Stegostoma tigrinum: one gene and its partner. The protein of the gene in region 1 interacts with the protein of each later gene in a biochemical or structural test. Links are inferred from orthologs where the notes say so. Each region holds a gene or a part of one and is shown on either strand. Other genes may lie near its edges.

The links.
Region 2: of the proteins of wnk1b (region 1) and kelch-like protein 3, one has a biochemical effect on the other in vitro, tested with the Homo sapiens proteins (2 studies listed by BioGRID). The link is inferred for Stegostoma tigrinum from reciprocal best matches to the Homo sapiens genes WNK1 and KLHL3.

Annotation. Positions count from the first base shown.
Region 1 is NC_081371.1:20,510,026-20,518,234, forward strand, and holds the start of wnk1b (serine/threonine-protein kinase WNK1), read left to right. Parts: upstream 1-5,011; 5' UTR 5,012-6,085; coding exon 6,086-6,892; intron 6,893-8,209. UniProt on the Homo sapiens protein: Serine/threonine-protein kinase component of the WNK1-SPAK/OSR1 kinase cascade, which acts as a key regulator of blood pressure and regulatory volume increase by promoting ion influx.
Region 2 is NC_081366.1:35,887,871-35,895,655, reverse strand, and holds the start of kelch-like protein 3, read left to right. Parts: upstream 1-4,658; 5' UTR 4,659-4,787; coding exon 4,788-4,876; intron 4,877-4,969; exon of another isoform or gene 4,970-5,115; coding exon of another isoform or gene 5,116-5,129; intron 5,130-7,785. UniProt on the Homo sapiens protein: Substrate-specific adapter of a BCR (BTB-CUL3-RBX1) E3 ubiquitin ligase complex that acts as a regulator of ion transport in the distal nephron.

The DNA of each region.
Region 1 (8,209 bases):
AAATAGCTAATGGAGGGACTGCAACAATTGTTTATTCCAGTTTTGCACAAAAATAAAATGGAAAAGGTGCCCAATCATGATTAACACGGAAAATTAAAAATAGTGATAGATCTAAGGATGGGGCATACAGACTGGCCAAAAAAGTAACAGACCTGAGTATCAGGAGCAGGTTAGATTTCAGCAAAGAAGGACAAAGGGATTAATTAAGATGGGGAATATAGAGTATAAGAGTAAGTTTGCAAGGAATATACAAATTATTTGTAAAACCTTTTATTGATATGTGAAGAGAAAGTATTTCATGAAGACAGATGTAGGTCCCTTAGAGTTAGAAACAGGGAAAGTTATAATGGGGAATAAAGACATGGCAGACCAAGTAAGTACACAGTTTGGGATAGTAGGAACTGCTGATGCTGGAGAATCAGATAACAAGGTGTACCTGCATGAACACAGCAGGCCAAACAGCATCAGAGGAGCAGAAAAACTGATGTTTTGGCCTGCTGTGTTCATCCAACTCTACACCTTGTTATCTAAGTACATATTTTGGTTTTGCTTCAAAGGATGACACAAATTGTGTTCCAAAAATGTTGGGGATCACAAGGTATTGAGAGATGAATGAATTGAAAGAAATCAGTTTTGGTAGGGATAATGGGAACTTCAGATGCTGGAGAATCCGAGATAACAAAGTGTGGAGCTGGATGAACACAGCAAGCCAAGCAGCATCTTAGGAGTACAAAAAGCTGACATTTCGGGCCTAGACTCTTCAAGAAGGGTCTAGGCCCGAAATGTCAGCTTTTGTGCTCCTAAAATGCTGCTAGGCCTGCTGTGTTCATCCAGCTCCACACTTTGTTGTCTTAGGTTTGGTAGGGAAATGGTTTTGGGGAAATTGATAGGATTAAAGGCCAATAAATCCCCAGTGGCTGATAACCTACATCCTACAATACTCAAGGAAGTGGTCCGAGAAATAATGGATGCATTGGTGGTCACCTTTCAAGATTCTATTGGCTCTAGTCTGGAACGGTTTCTAAGAATAAAGTAGCGAATTATAGATCAGTGAGCCTGACATCAATAGTAGAGATAATGCTGGAAAAAATTTAATGGTAAAAAACTTGGAAAATTGTATCAGAATCAGACAAAGTTAGCTGAGATTTATGAAAGGGAAATCATGCTTGATAAATCATATCTACTCATATTTTTTGAAGATGTAACTAGTATAGTTGATAAAGTTGGATTCAGTAGATGTGGTTTACTTGGATTTTCAAAATGTTTTCGATAAGGTTCCCCATAAGAGATTAGCATGTAAAATTAAAGCATGTGGGATTGAGGCTAATGCATTGACATGGATAGAGAACTGGCTGACAGACAGGAAACAAAGAATAGGAATAAACCTTTTCTGAGTTGCAGGTGGTGACGAGTGGGGTACCACAGGGATCAGTGCTTGGGCTCCACCTATTTACAATATACATTAAATATTTAGATGAGGCAACTAACCGTAAGAGGTGTTGAACTATGAGAAGGATGCTGAAATGCATCAGCGCGATTTGGGTAAATTGAGCAAGTAGATGAAGTACTGTGTGGATAAATGTGAGGTTGCACTTTGGTACCAAAAAAAAGGACAGTTTATTATCTAAACGGTAATATATTTAAAAAGGGGGAAGGTGCATCAAAACCTGTGTGTACCTGTACACCAGTTGCTTAAAGTAAGCATGCAGCTGCAGCAGGTGTCAAAGAAGGCAACTTGTATGTCAGCCTTTGCAACAAGCGGGTTTAAAAACAGGAGCGTGAATGTCTTGCTGCAATTGTATGGAACACTGGCAAACTATACCTTGAGAAGTAGGTGTGCAGTTTTGGTTTTCTTAACTGAGGAAGAATGTTCTGGCTACGGAGGCAGCACAACAAATGTTCACCAGACTGATTCCTGGCATGGCAGGACTGATAGTATGAACAGAGAATGGATCAGTTAGGACAATATTCACTGGAGATTAGAAGAATGATGGGGAGGGAGATCTCATTTAAATCTATGAAATTCAAATAGGATTTGACATAGTAAACAGTGCAAAGGATAAGCTGAAGCATTCGCTGCAATCTTCAGCCAGAAGTACTGAGCGGATAAACCGTCTCAGCCTCTTTCAATTGTCCCCCAACATCGTAGATATCAGCCTTCAGTCAAGTCAATTCACTCCTTGCGACATCAAGGAACAGTCGTATGCATTGGAAATTGCGAAGTCAAAGGCTCTGACAACATTCCAGCAACAGTACTGAAGACCTGTGCTCCTCAACTTACTGCTCCCCTTGCCAAGTGGTTCAGTACAGTTGCACTGGCATCTAGTTAACAATGTGGAAAATTGTCCAATAACGCCTTATACAAAAAAACTGGCCAACTACCAATCTGTCTGTCTATTCGCAATCATCATTAAGGAGATGGAAGGTGTCACCAACTATCAAGCAGCACTGTTCAGCAATAACTTGCTCAGTGATGCCTGGTTTAGGTTTTGCCAGGGCCACTCAGATCCTGACCTCATTACAGCCTTCATTCAAATACGGACAAAGAACTGAATTTCAGAGTGGAGGTGAGAGTGACAGCCCTTGAGAAGTATGCTGCATTTGAATGACTGTGGCATTAAGGAGCCCTAGCAAAACTGGGATCAATAGGTATCACAGGGCAAACTCTCCGCTGGGTGGAGTCACATTTCGCACACAGGAAGATGACTGTTGATGCTGGAGATCAGTCATCCCATCTGCAGGCCATTTCTGCATGAATTTCTCAGACTAGGCCCAACCATCTTCGGCTGCTTCATCAATGTCATTCCCTGCATCATGAGATCAGAAACGTGAATGTTTACAGATGACTGCACAATATTCAACACCATTTATGACTCCTCAGATACAGGAGCAGTCCGTGCACAAATGTAACAAGATCTGGACAATATCCAGACTTGGGCTGACAAATGGCAAGTAACATTTGCACCTTGAAAATGCCAGACAGTGATTTTCTCCAATAAGAGATAATCAAACAACTACCCCTTGACATTCAATGGTGTTACCATCACCAAATCGCTTTCTCCTTATCAACATCCTTGGGGTAACCACTGATTGGAAACAGAACCGGGCTCATTACATAAACACAAGAGGTTAGGGGCTATAGGTGCGGGGAATAATTCAGCTCATGACTCCCTAAATCCTATCTACCATCTACAAGGTTTAAGAAATGAGTGTGATGGAATATTCCCCACTTGCCTGATAGGTGCAGTTCCAACAACACTCAAAAAGCTTGACACCATTCAGGCCAAAGCAGCCCATTTGATTGGCATCACATCCACTAGCATCTGCTCCCTCCACAACTTAAATTCAGTAGCAGCAGTGGGTACTGTCTACAAGATGCACTCCAGAAATTGATCAAAGATCCTTAGACAGCATCTTCCAAACCCACAACCACCTTCATTTGGAAGGATAAGAGCACCAGATACAAAGCAACACCATCACCTACAAGTTTCCCCTCCAAGCCACTCACCACTGAATCGGAAATGTATTGTCGTTCCTTTGATGTTGCTGGTTCAAAATCCTTGTAGCCCCTCCCTAAGGCTATTATGGGCCATCCCATATCACATGGACAGCTGTGGTTCAAGGTGGCAGCTCACCATCACATTCTCAAAGGCAACTCAGATAGGCAATAAATGCTGGCCAGCCAGCAAGACCCACATCCCACGAGTGAATAAAAGAAAATAATATTTCCAATGTCTGGAGAGTCCAGAACAAGTGGTCACTGCCTAAATATACACGGTTGGTCATTTAGGACTGAGAAGAGGAGAAAGTTCCTCACCCAGACAGCAGTGAACCTGTGGAATTCTATGTCACAAGAAGTGGCTGTGGCCAACACATGCAACGTTTTCAAGGAGTAAAATATAGTTCTTAGGGTTAATGGGGTAAAATGGTATGGGGAGAAAGCAGGAACAAGGTGCTGAGTTGGATGATCAGCCATGATCATATTGAATGGTAGAGTAGGCTTCAAGCCAAATAGCCTACTCCTGCTCATATTTTCAATTTCTCCTTATAAAATATTGGCCTGGTAAAAGGCCATTCATATATCCTCTTAACTAGAAGGTTTACAATTAAAGCAAATTAGTCGATTTTTAAAAAAAATTCTCTTGATCTTACTGCAATGTCTTCACGTACAATTACATTGCAAACATCGTGCTTGCATTCAAGAGCTCGTCCATCGTCGTGTATTTCTGCTGCTGAAAGTTAAAGCTAACCGAAGAAAGCAGCGTAGTCGAACGAAAATGAACGAGCAAATTAGGTTTTCAGAAGGATTTAACTATGTATTTTACTTTGTTCACTATGATGGTGCAATATCCAGTGCGGTAGTTTTAACGAGGCCGAGCAGGTCCTGAATAAACAGAAATTGAAACAGAAATTAATTTTGATGAATTTTACGCACCCAGAATGCTTTTAATCAGCTTCTCATTCTAGATTCTGAACCCTCTCAGTGCGCTGTATGTTAATTCAGATGTATGTTTGTTCTGGAATTACTTACGAAGGTTTTATTTCACTTATATTTCATTTGGAGAATCACCATCCAGGAGAGAATCTATCACGCCACCATGCAACGATGTACGATTTATTGAATTTAAAACCTGTGCATTTCAGAAGGAATGTGCAGTTGGAGAAGATCATTGCCTATTTTAATAAATATAATCTTTTCCGCCTTCAATAACCAAAGCTTCCAAAACCAGCCTCGCCCCCTCCCCTGGTACCCACAGCTCATCCTTTTCCGTCCTCCTATTGTCCATATCACGTGCTCAGCTCAACGCTCCCACAGAGACGCAAAGTGGGCGGAATAAATAAACGCCAACCAACTGAAATGTTCTCGTAGCATGATGGGAACTGTAGTTCCGTTTTTGCGTGTTTCAAATCGAACTATGTGCCAACACTGCTAATTGTAATGGAAAAACTACGTTTCCCAATTGGCTGTGCGGTGGTGTTGCGCATGTGAATGGGTTGCCTTGAGCTCGAGCACTCAGCTTCTCGGAAAGTGCCAGTAAGTGAGTTAGAGGCAGTGTATCCGCCATTTACAGTTGGGAGGAAGAACGTGTCTATTTTCGAGCTGAGAGATTCGCCTGTTTTACCTTCTTTGCCCCCCTCCCCCGTTCTGTGTGGGGGGCCCGGGCTTGGGTCTACGATACTTGTTCGTTAAGGAAACCGGCTGGGCGTATTTTTTATTTGAAAAGTCGATTCCAGTACAAGAGGAAGAGAAGAAGCCGGGATGTTACGTATGTGGACAGCTCTGCAGTGAGCCTCTCCCCCGGCAGATCGACCTTACCCTGGGGTTTTCTATTGTTGCAGCATCCCGGCCTAGTCCATCTGGCAGCCTGCACGTCTGTCGGCTATTTAAATTTTGGTGACTTTTCTTTAAAACCATGGGCATCGCATCCATTTTGAAAGCTTGAAAGAGCAGAACCTTATGGCATCGACGGGGCAGTCGTGGCGTTGTATATTATCTGTGCTTAAAATAAACCGACGCATTTCCATAACCGTGGAATTGTTCTAGTGAGGGAACAGAAACTAGCAGCATCGCTGAAAGGGATTGTTGCGTTGATTGTCCCTTTTTTTGTTCTGGCCGTTTTAAAGTATATTATTTTTGGAGTTAATCCGGGAATAAGGAACTGTTTTGGCTTTGTTTATATCGGTTGGATTTTCATTTTCATTTTAAATTTCTTTATCGCCCTTTTGAGAAATGAAGACTGGATGAAAATTGTTCGAAATTTTTAATTAAGGATGGATGGATCACAACAGATGATCCATGTTTATGTCGCTGCGTTGCAACTGATTGAGTTGGACAATATTGCGTATCTCATTTTTTATATCGGAACGCTTCAGTTCCAGGGACCCGACTGTTTGCGCAAACATAACAGGGAATTATTTTGACTTCTCAAAGAAAATCAGGTTGCATTTGTCTTTACGCGTAATTGGTACTTTTTATTGCATTTCAACCATTTGACCGGCAGTGTGCTTCGCGTTGAAATCTTGTTTGAAGAGAAACCACTGAATTCTTCTGGGGAAGTCTTTTGGGAATTGAGTTTTTGTGGAAATGTCGGAAAACGCAGACAATGTTGGGTCTTTGTTGCGCCCCCCTAAAAATGGTACCAATTCGAGTTCAGATACGACAATAGGGGAGCGTTTTGGAGTAAGTTTGAGAAAAAAAGAAGAGTTTAAGGCTCTTAGGAGGCGGCGACATACTATGGATAAGGACAGCAAAGCAGAGCACCAACGTTTTATCAGGAGAAGTGTGATCTGTGATTCCAACGTTACAGCGTTGGACCATCTGCCCAGTAAGACATGTATTATCGTTTCGCCACCCGAATCGGATAATGCAGCTTCATTAATAAGCAGTATTACTATTAATAACGAAGCGCAACCTCCTGTACAAGCTACGACAGTTGACTCGGTCACTGCGGCAATTCCTGTTTTTGCCGGAGAAAAATGTGAAAAGTGCGTTGATGGCAATACGAAGGATGGAAGCACAGTTGCTGGAATTGGCGATGAACGACCGAGAACTGCTGTTCGTTCGCTCGATGCCGATGTTTGCAACCATGCAGGGACTACAACCAGTAGCAGCAAAGACAGAAAAAAACAAAAATCAGTTCCAATTAAAGAGGAAACCGAGTTGAAAGCTAACGATGATGATAGTTCAGAGAGCAAAGAAGCGGAAGAGGCAAAAAATCAGGAGAGGAAGGCGCAAGAAGATAATGAAGAAATAGAGACTAAGGCTGTGGCAACCTCCCCCGATGGGAGGTTTTTGAAGTTCGATATAGAAATTGGGAGAGGTTCTTTCAAAACCGTCTATAAAGGTCTAGACACAGAAACTACAGTGGAAGTAGCTTGGTGTGAATTGCAGGTAAGTTGTGTATTTTTGTTGTCGGCACGTTTGTCTTCATTGGGAAGACTAGCCACTTCATTTAAATCCTTGTTGCATTAGTATTTGTATTTTCAAAGAAATTTAACTACCAAAGGATAGTTTGATATGAGCTGAATGGCCACCTTCTGCCCTGTATCATTGCTGTGATTCTGAAAGAAGTGGTGTGCAGACCTTAAAATTAAAGGTGGCAATATAATTCATTGACACTTGCCAATTAGAAGCATAATTTAGAATCTGAAAGCTTTTTTTTAGTATTATTAAGGGATTCATTCCCAGGGTACTAACAACTTGTGTCCCATTAAAACCTGCTGTGATTTTTCTTCATTTTGACAACTTCTTGTTCAGGTTTGATATGGTCTTGAACATTGATACCTTTGACCATGAATGCTGAATAAATTTGATATTTCCACAAGAATGATTTTGAATAGAGCTTGCTGGACTATATTTTGAATTGAAAATTGTGTTTTACCTCCCTCTCTCTCCTCCTCATCCTCATTCTCTCACAGCGGGTTGGCATGGTATGAGGTGTTAAGACTGGTGTATTTCTGTCAGAGATAATGGGAACTGCAGATGCTGGCGATTCCAAGACAATAAAATGTGAGGCTGGATGAACACAGCAGGCCAAGCAGCATCCCAGGAGCACAAAAGCCGACGCTTCGGGCCTAGACCCTTCTGTCACCCTGTTTGAAATCAGTATAGGATGACTGGATGTTTGGCTGAGAACTTTCCTATTAGTGTAGCTTAAGTTTGTGTTCTTTTAACTGAATTTGAGTAGAGTTCAAAATGCATGTACCTAGCCCTTCATTGGACGCTTGATTATGTTAGTTTCAATTATGCACCGTTGATTTGACAATCCATGCCATAGATTCTGTTGTGTATATATTTATATTTTTAGGTTATTTTATTTTATACATGTATATGGTGAGAAGTGGCAAAGAGGTTCCTTTTTGTGTAGTTAAAGAAATGTGACAACGTAAAGGCCAGATAACTTGTTTCAGTGACATTGAAGGAAAAGTATTTTCCAGAACAGTGGAGAGAGATCTCATTTTCAAATGCAAGTAGTGACGTGATGTTTTACTACCATCTTGTACCAGAAAGTTTCCATTTGATGCTTTGTTTAAAAGACAATACCTCCCAAGTTGCAGCAAGCTGGCAGTACTGCAGAGGTGTGATTGTGGATTATGTGGGCAAGACTTGAGTGACACTTTGAACCTGAAAACTTTTGATATTTGAGAGGAAGTTTTGAGAATTGCCAAAAATTCTGGAAGAAACTGCCTAGGACTGGATACATTTTTC
Region 2 (7,785 bases), on another chromosome or scaffold:
ACCATTCTGGCTTCCACAATCAATCCTCATAACTGAAGTCTCTCATTCTCAGCACCATTCTTCTTATTTATTTTCTGCATTCTTTCCAATGTCTTTGGATCTTTCATGATGTCATGGCCAGAATCGAACACTACTTCAGTTAAGCCTGAACCAGTTTTCTGTAAAGGTTCAACACAACTTCCTTGTTTTTGTACTGTATACCAATAAATCTCAGGATTCTGGATGCTTTAACTGCTTTCAGAACCTTTGTCACCCTCAGTGATTTGTACATATATACTCCCAGTGTTTATGATTTTGCACCCACTTAAGAATCATGTGTTTTATTTGCCTTTTCTCATTCTGCCTCCATCATTTCACATTTCCTTGCATTAAATTGTAGTGCTTTGAATGGGCGCATTTCACTTTCTACAGCTTCTTGCTGTCCACCACAGTTCTGCTGGCTTTGGGTCATTTGTAACTTCTGTAATTGTGACCTGCGCTACACTATGTCAAGATAATTAATAGAGATTAAGAGTAGAACAAATACCGACCTCAGTCCGAGAAACAATTATTTGCTAACACTGTTGGTGAACCAACGTTGCATTCTTATTGTTATTGTCCCTTTTATTCTATGGGGTTTAACTTTGTGGACAACTCAAGAAACTTCATTCAGAGATTGTGCAATTTCCTGCTAGGTGCAATAGATGACGCAAGTAGATATATCGAGGGGGAGCTAGATACAAACACGAGGGTAGAAAGGATAAAGAGTATTGATGGGATGAAGTTAAGTAAAGGAGAGGGAAAGGTTTGTTTGGTTCTTAAAGTTCAAAATAAGAGTGATGGCTACATGCCTTGTGTCTATGCTGTAAAATTCTGTGATTGGCTTAACATGAAGGTGGCAATGGTCATGGATGTTTCCATTCATATCTGTAGTAACTTGGAAGTGAGTAGACAATGATTTTAAAATAAGAGACTTAGATAATGAAATGTTTTAGATATTGAAACAAAGCAAGGTGCTAAAGAAATCAGGGGAGAAACCAAATTTGAAGATCTCACTGTAGCTAAGGTAATATGATAAGGCACATGTAACCTGGAATGGGTGGGGCGGTAATTTTTCTGGCCTTAGTGATGAGCTTCACGGGTTCAGTGTTGGATCACTGTTTTAGTAGTCTTTGATCATCATTTACAAACTTGGCATCTGCATGCTTTTTTTTAAACAAATGGATAAACTTCTGAAAAATGTGTATTCTTGAACCAGTCTGTGATTCTCTTATCATTTTAGTGACATATGACACATTGTCAGTTATAAAATTTGTCAGTTTTGTTTGGGAATCTATTAACTTGTCTATGGACCTCCTGAAATCACTTTAGTTAACAATGCATCATTTTTCTGTATTGGCAGAAAATTTTGAAACTATGCCCTGCCACCTAATTCCAGGTCATTAAGATGTAAAAACCAAGAGAAAACTAATGTTTGCATCACTCCTATCGAGAAAGTTCCATTAACCATTATTTCCTTTTTTGTTACTTTGACCAACTTCCTATCCAAGTTGTATCATGCTGCTTAATATTATGTGCTTTAATTTCTTCTTCATTGTTGGGTCAAACTCCTTCATTTCCCCACAAAACAGCACTGCAAACAATCACCTGGACTGCAAAGATTCAAGGAGGCAGCTCATCATCACTTTCTCCAGGCAATTACAGATGGGTAATAAATACTGGTCTTGGCAGTGATACCAGTGTCTGATGAAAACAGTTTTTTAAAAAAATCATTAAATCAGCAATGAAATTCTTTCTGGAAGTTCAAATATGCAATTTAATCTTGTCACACATGAATGTTTGAACTTCAGAGCTGGAATTGACATAAATTCTGGTAGAAGTGGATCACAAAATATGTTGAAAATGTAACTTTTCTTTTCAATTGTTTGTCATTCTTCGGTGCAAATAAACTCCCCCTCCCTGCAAGGGCCAGCAAAGTGTTACCAAGGAAATCCTTGAGGACGTGGGTCTTATTCATAGAAAATATGAAACTGCATGTCTTCCTTTTTTATATAAATAATGATTATGCTAAACCTGGAAAAAAGTAGTTGCTTGAAATCCTGTTTCACTGTACTTCTTCCAGGGTCAATAACTGATCATGCTGGTTATGGTTCCATGGCTACTGTTTTTGCGTCTAAGCTGTTATTCTTTATGTATGAGGGGAATCAGTGAATGTTGACTGTTAGTTAAATATGATCTTATTTTAATCTTATGTCTGCTGTACTTTCTAGCAGGACTGGATTATGATCAAAAGCAAGCATTTTAAAATCATAATGTAAATTGGTTAAATTCATAGGCTGCTGTCTTTGAGAAGAGCACCTTAACTTGGTAATGATGTTCAAAATCATGAATTGCTAAACAAAGAGAAACTCTTCAATGCCAAAATAGATGATGATCAAAGGACATAGATTTAAGAAGATTTTTGATCTGGAAAATACTACCTGAAACATTGGTGGAAACAGTTTGAATAGTCACAGTTGAGGAATGGATAAATACTAGAGGAAAGTATTAGAGGAAAATGACTGATTGGATGACTCTTCTAAAGATCCATCCCAGGCATAGCGGGTCAAGCTGTCACCTTATGTGCTGTACGATTCCACGATAAGGTTTTGGAGTAGATTTGTAGCTGGGATTGTGGGTGTTGAGGTTGGTTGGCTTACCAAGCTGGTTTCTTATTTTGCAGATGTTTTGTTACCATGCTGGGTAACATCCTGAGTGCAGCCTCCGACGAAGCGTTGGTGTGTTTTCCCGCCTGGCATTTAAACTCCCGGGTCCGTTGAGATGGAATGTCTCACTTCCAGTTTTCCTTCGCAGTGGAATGTATATGGCGTCAAGCTCAATATGTTTATTAATTGCATGCTTCGTAGAGTGCCAGGTTTCTAGGAATTCTCATGCCTGTCTCTGCCTGGCTTGTCCAGGATTTTGGTGTTGTCCCAGTCGAAATGGTGGTTCTCCTTGTCCATGTGGATTGAGATGAGTGAGGACTGGTCGTGTCTTTTTGTAGCCAGTTGTACTCTTGTTAGCTTCCTTCCTGTTTGCCCGATGTAACGTTTCTCACAGTCACTGCAGGTAGTTGACATTTGCTCCTGTCCATGGCGGGAAGTTGTTCTTTAGTTCAGGTGAGCAGTTGTCGTAGGACTGATGTGGGCTTGTGTGCCACTCTGATGCTCAGTGGTCGTAGGAGTCACCACAAGACTCTTAAACTCCTTAAACTCACTTCTGGTCATGTTCATCTTCGATCACTGAGACAGAATGAAAATACTGCAAGAAGCAGAGATGACCTGTTCCAGAATATTGCAAGAGCTTTTTAAATAAAAATCAGAAATTTCCAGTTTGAAAAGATAAGAATGAAACGGGACTTGATAGAGGAATTAAAGATGCTTAATTTCTTTTTCTGGTCAATTAACTCCAGAGTACTGGGTTAGGTTTAACCATAAGCATGAAAAAAAACGTTTGAGGCACGATACAGGAAGTAATTATCACACAAATAATAAATATCTGGAAAGGCTTCTCAGTTAGGGCCTGGAGCATAAACTCTGTAATCATTCAACAAATATTGTGGTTAGGAAGGCATATGGGATACCTGCCTGTATCAGTCATGGCATTGATTATAAGGGAAGTCATTTTCGAGCCATGTAAAACATTGTTTAGGCCGTAACGCGGCTGCTGGAAAGTGCGATATGACAAAGTGTGGAGCTGGATGAACACAGCAGGCCAAGCAACATCTTAGGAGCACAAGATGCTGCTTGGCCTGCTGCGTTCATCCAGCTCCACACTTGCAAACGCTGAAGAATCCGACATAACAGTTCCCGTTATCTCTGCTGGAAAGTGCGACCAGAGCAGGTAATAGTGTATTTTTGGTGGTACAGACTGACATTATTATTTGTGGCCTTTTGTTCATTGTTCCTGTTTGCAGTTTGCACCTTTTTAACACTGCTTAATCTCTTTTTCCCTCGATTGTGTTCCCTAATCTGGAAATAATGTGCAAGATCTGTAAATGCTAGTTGCAAAACTCCGTATAATCTTCTAGTTCTACTTAGTAGAATCTTCTCTATGACGCTTTGACACTGCCAAACATCACTGGGAGTGTAGCCAAAATTCCTGCTATACTGAATCCTCAAGGCACAGGCTGGCGATTACGGACTGAACGGGAGAAAGGTAGATTGCTGTTGTTTATAAGCGAGTTTGGGCAGTGACCTGGAAATAAACAAAAATTCTCATGAATTAAAAGCAGAAATTGCTTCAAATGGCAGCAGTTCTTTGTATCTGTGGAGAGAGAAACAGTTCACCGACCACTTTAAAGCAGATTACTCAGGAAAAATAAAACTCTGGGAATGACTGGATATGTGAGATCATTCTTCCAAACCTCAAAAACATCACAAAATGTAGAGAGGAAGGGGTGGAATTTAAGAATTCCCACAGAAGGTCAACTCTCCCAAAACTGTTCCTAGAGGCACAGTTATATTTTATTGATTGAATACACGCCACCCTGTACCTCCTTCCCTAGCCAAGAGCAACTCAATTTACATCAGCAAATATTTATTTGTTAGTTGAACGTTGCACTTCTTTGATTGGTTTGTTGACCTCAGTCTGCTGACATTGGCCAACTCTTATTTTCCCCTCTTGCTTACAACGTGAGAGTTTCTGGTGAGAAACAGCAGCAAGTCGTCCGAAAACAAAACTTTCGGAGAGGCAGATTTGTTCGGGTAGCGAAAGGAGGGTAAAACACAACGCGCAGCAAATCCTTTCCCCGCTGTACAGTGAGCTGTATGAATCCCTGCAACACGGCGAGAAATGCTGCGGAATCTCGCAGCGGTGGTACCGCTACCGGTGGAGGTGGACGGTGCCCAGGAGCCAGGTGAGTCTCTCGCCGCCGCTGCCAGGCAACCGGCCAACACTGTGGAGTCAGGCGCTGCGGCGGGGAGCTAAGGGCAGGGTCCTGAGAGAGCGCGAGCCGCTGCTATGGCGCCGAGCTGAGGCCCTCAGTCCGAGCTCCGTGAGCAGGGCCGGGTTGGACGAGACTAGCCCTTCATCCCGGCCGGCTACTTGGAGCCGGGCCCAAGGGAATGCGGCCGTCGAACACCAACACTCCACACTATGGAGGATGAAGGGTAGGTTGGGAGCGACCCTTTTCACCTGCCTCCCTGATACTCGCTCTCCGTCTGAACAAGTTGTTCCCTCATCCCCGTCCTGTCCCGCTCTATGGGTGGGCTGCTTTCCTGATCCCTGCCTCAAAACCGTGACTGTCACTAAGCTCTTTTTAAAACACGCGTGCAGTTTATCTGCTTAATGTGTGTGAATATGTAAACCAACTTTATTTCTTAACTTGAGAATCACTTGATTGCATCCTGTTCTGCAGATATATCCGGTGCACATTTCTGATTCTGACAGGTTTCTCGATCATGACTGTGTATTTTAAAGCGCTTCGCGATTCTGGATATAAAAAAAACAAATTCCAAAATTTTGTCATTTCCTTGGTACTGCGGTGCATTTTGTAAGTTTTCGGAGTAATTCATGCTATGGAGGTGCCGGTGTTGGACTAATGCATATGTTTGCGAAATGCGGGAAGCTGCCCTATAGATCTGAATCATTACCATGAAATATCAGATGTGCTAATTTGAGGTTCAGACAATGCCAGTACTGTCCACTACACATCATATATAAAACAGTACTAGTACTAACAGCACTTCGTATCTCAATATTCTTGTAGATTGAATAGTATCAGTCAAAAACTTCACAGCAACAATTTTCCAGGCCTGATGGTAATGGTGTTTATTGGATGCGGTCAACATTTAAGCTATAACTTTGTTGCCTTCCTCTTAATTATTGCCTAGAAAGGTGTAAGTAAGTGCAAGTTAGCCTAGCTACCCAAAAGACTTTAACTACTCACTGCAAACTGAGGCTGAGGAATTCAGGGTTTACATTATAAATAGCAAAAACAGAAGTTGCTGGAGAATCTCTGCAGGTCTGGAAGCATCTGTGGAGAGAAAGTCCAGTGACCCTTCTTAAGGACTCCTTATAGCTAGGAAGAAGTGGTATACATGCAGAGATCCTGACTAATATTTGGTTTGATCACACTCTTGTGAAATATCTTGGGAAGTTTTCTACAGCATGGAAACAGATCCTTCAGTTCAACTCATTGAAATATCTTGAACTGAACTAGCCCTGTTTGCCAGTATTTGGCCCATATTCCCCTAAACCTTTCCTATTCATGTACCCATCCTTTTAAATGTTGTAATTGTACCCACTTCCACCACCTCCTGTGGCAGTTCATTCCATACATACACCAGCCTCTGCATTTAAAAAAAGGCTTTTCTGAGGTCCCTTTTTAAATCTTTCCCCTCTAGCTTTAACCCTAAGCCCTCTAGTTTTGGACTCCCCTACTCTGGGGAAAAAAATCTTGGCTCTTCAGCCTATCCATGCCCCTCATAATTTTGTAAACCTTAAGTAAAGACCCCCTCAGCCTCAGATACTCCAGGGAAAAATATTTAACCTATTCAGCCTCTCCCTGTATCTCAAATACTCTAATCCTGGAAACATTCTTGTAAGTCGTTTCTGACACCTTTCAAGTTTTAACAACGTATTTTGTAGATCAACAGTATTCCAAAAGTGGCTTCACCAATGTCATGTACACTGATAACATGATGTCTCAACTTCTGTACTCAATGCAGTGACCGATGAAGACAAATCTGCCAAATGCCGTCATCACCACCTAGTCTGCATAGTCATACAGCATGGAAACTAGACCCTTCATTCCAACCAGTTCATGCTGACCGTAATCCCAAACTAAACTGGTCCCACCTGCATACACCTGGCTCATTTCCCTCCAAATCTGCCCTATTCAGATATCCATCCAAATGTCTTTTCAGCATTCTAATTGTATCCATTTCCACCAGTTCATCAGGAAGTTCATTCCACAAGCAAACCGTCCTCTGTAAAAACAATTTGCCTTGTGTTTTTTAAATCTCCTCCTCTCTCCTTTAAAAATGTGCCTCCTAGTCTTGAAATTCCCTATCTTAGAATTTAAATGCAAGATATTTCCCTCGCACTACCTTTAAAGGGTTCCTTTAAAGTGGTCATTCATTTTGTGGAATCAGAGTGGTTACAGTGCAGAAGGAGGTTATTTGACCTTGAGTCTGTCAGGTCTCAGCCAGAACAGAGCAGTTTATTCCTTCAATGTGGCTTATAGTCTAGCTCATATTAATGTTGTGTGTGGTGCTGCTATATTGTGTGATTGCACTGGTATAAACCAATTTCATTGATTCCTTTTCAGGATGGATTTTTTGTTATTATTATTATTGTTTGTGGTTCCTAAACTGTCAGAAACTTCTAAGTAACTTTCCCATGTAACCATTATTTATTTGTAAATCTTAAGTAATAGATGAAACTTTTTTAGTCCTCTAACACAATCCTATCTTGTCAGCACCCAGCATCTATAGGCACTCATGTGTTGTGTAGACGGTGATCAGGAATGAGAGCCCAGGTATTTTTGTTCCTGTTCCTTATGCAGTGATCCAGGGCACTGTACCAATTTTCCCTTCAGCTAGGATCTTGAGTCAGGAAAAGCCACAAATTGATTTTTTTTTTATGGTCTCATGCTTCATTTTGTCTTTTCTTTGAGCAGTTATGAGCATTGCCAAAGGTTTAGAACACCCTAATCACAGGAAAGATATTATTATTTCAGAAGAGATTTACTGAGGATGAAAAGATTTTGCCTAACGTTGCTGTGATTGGAACTACAGAAACTTCATAATGAATACATTATGA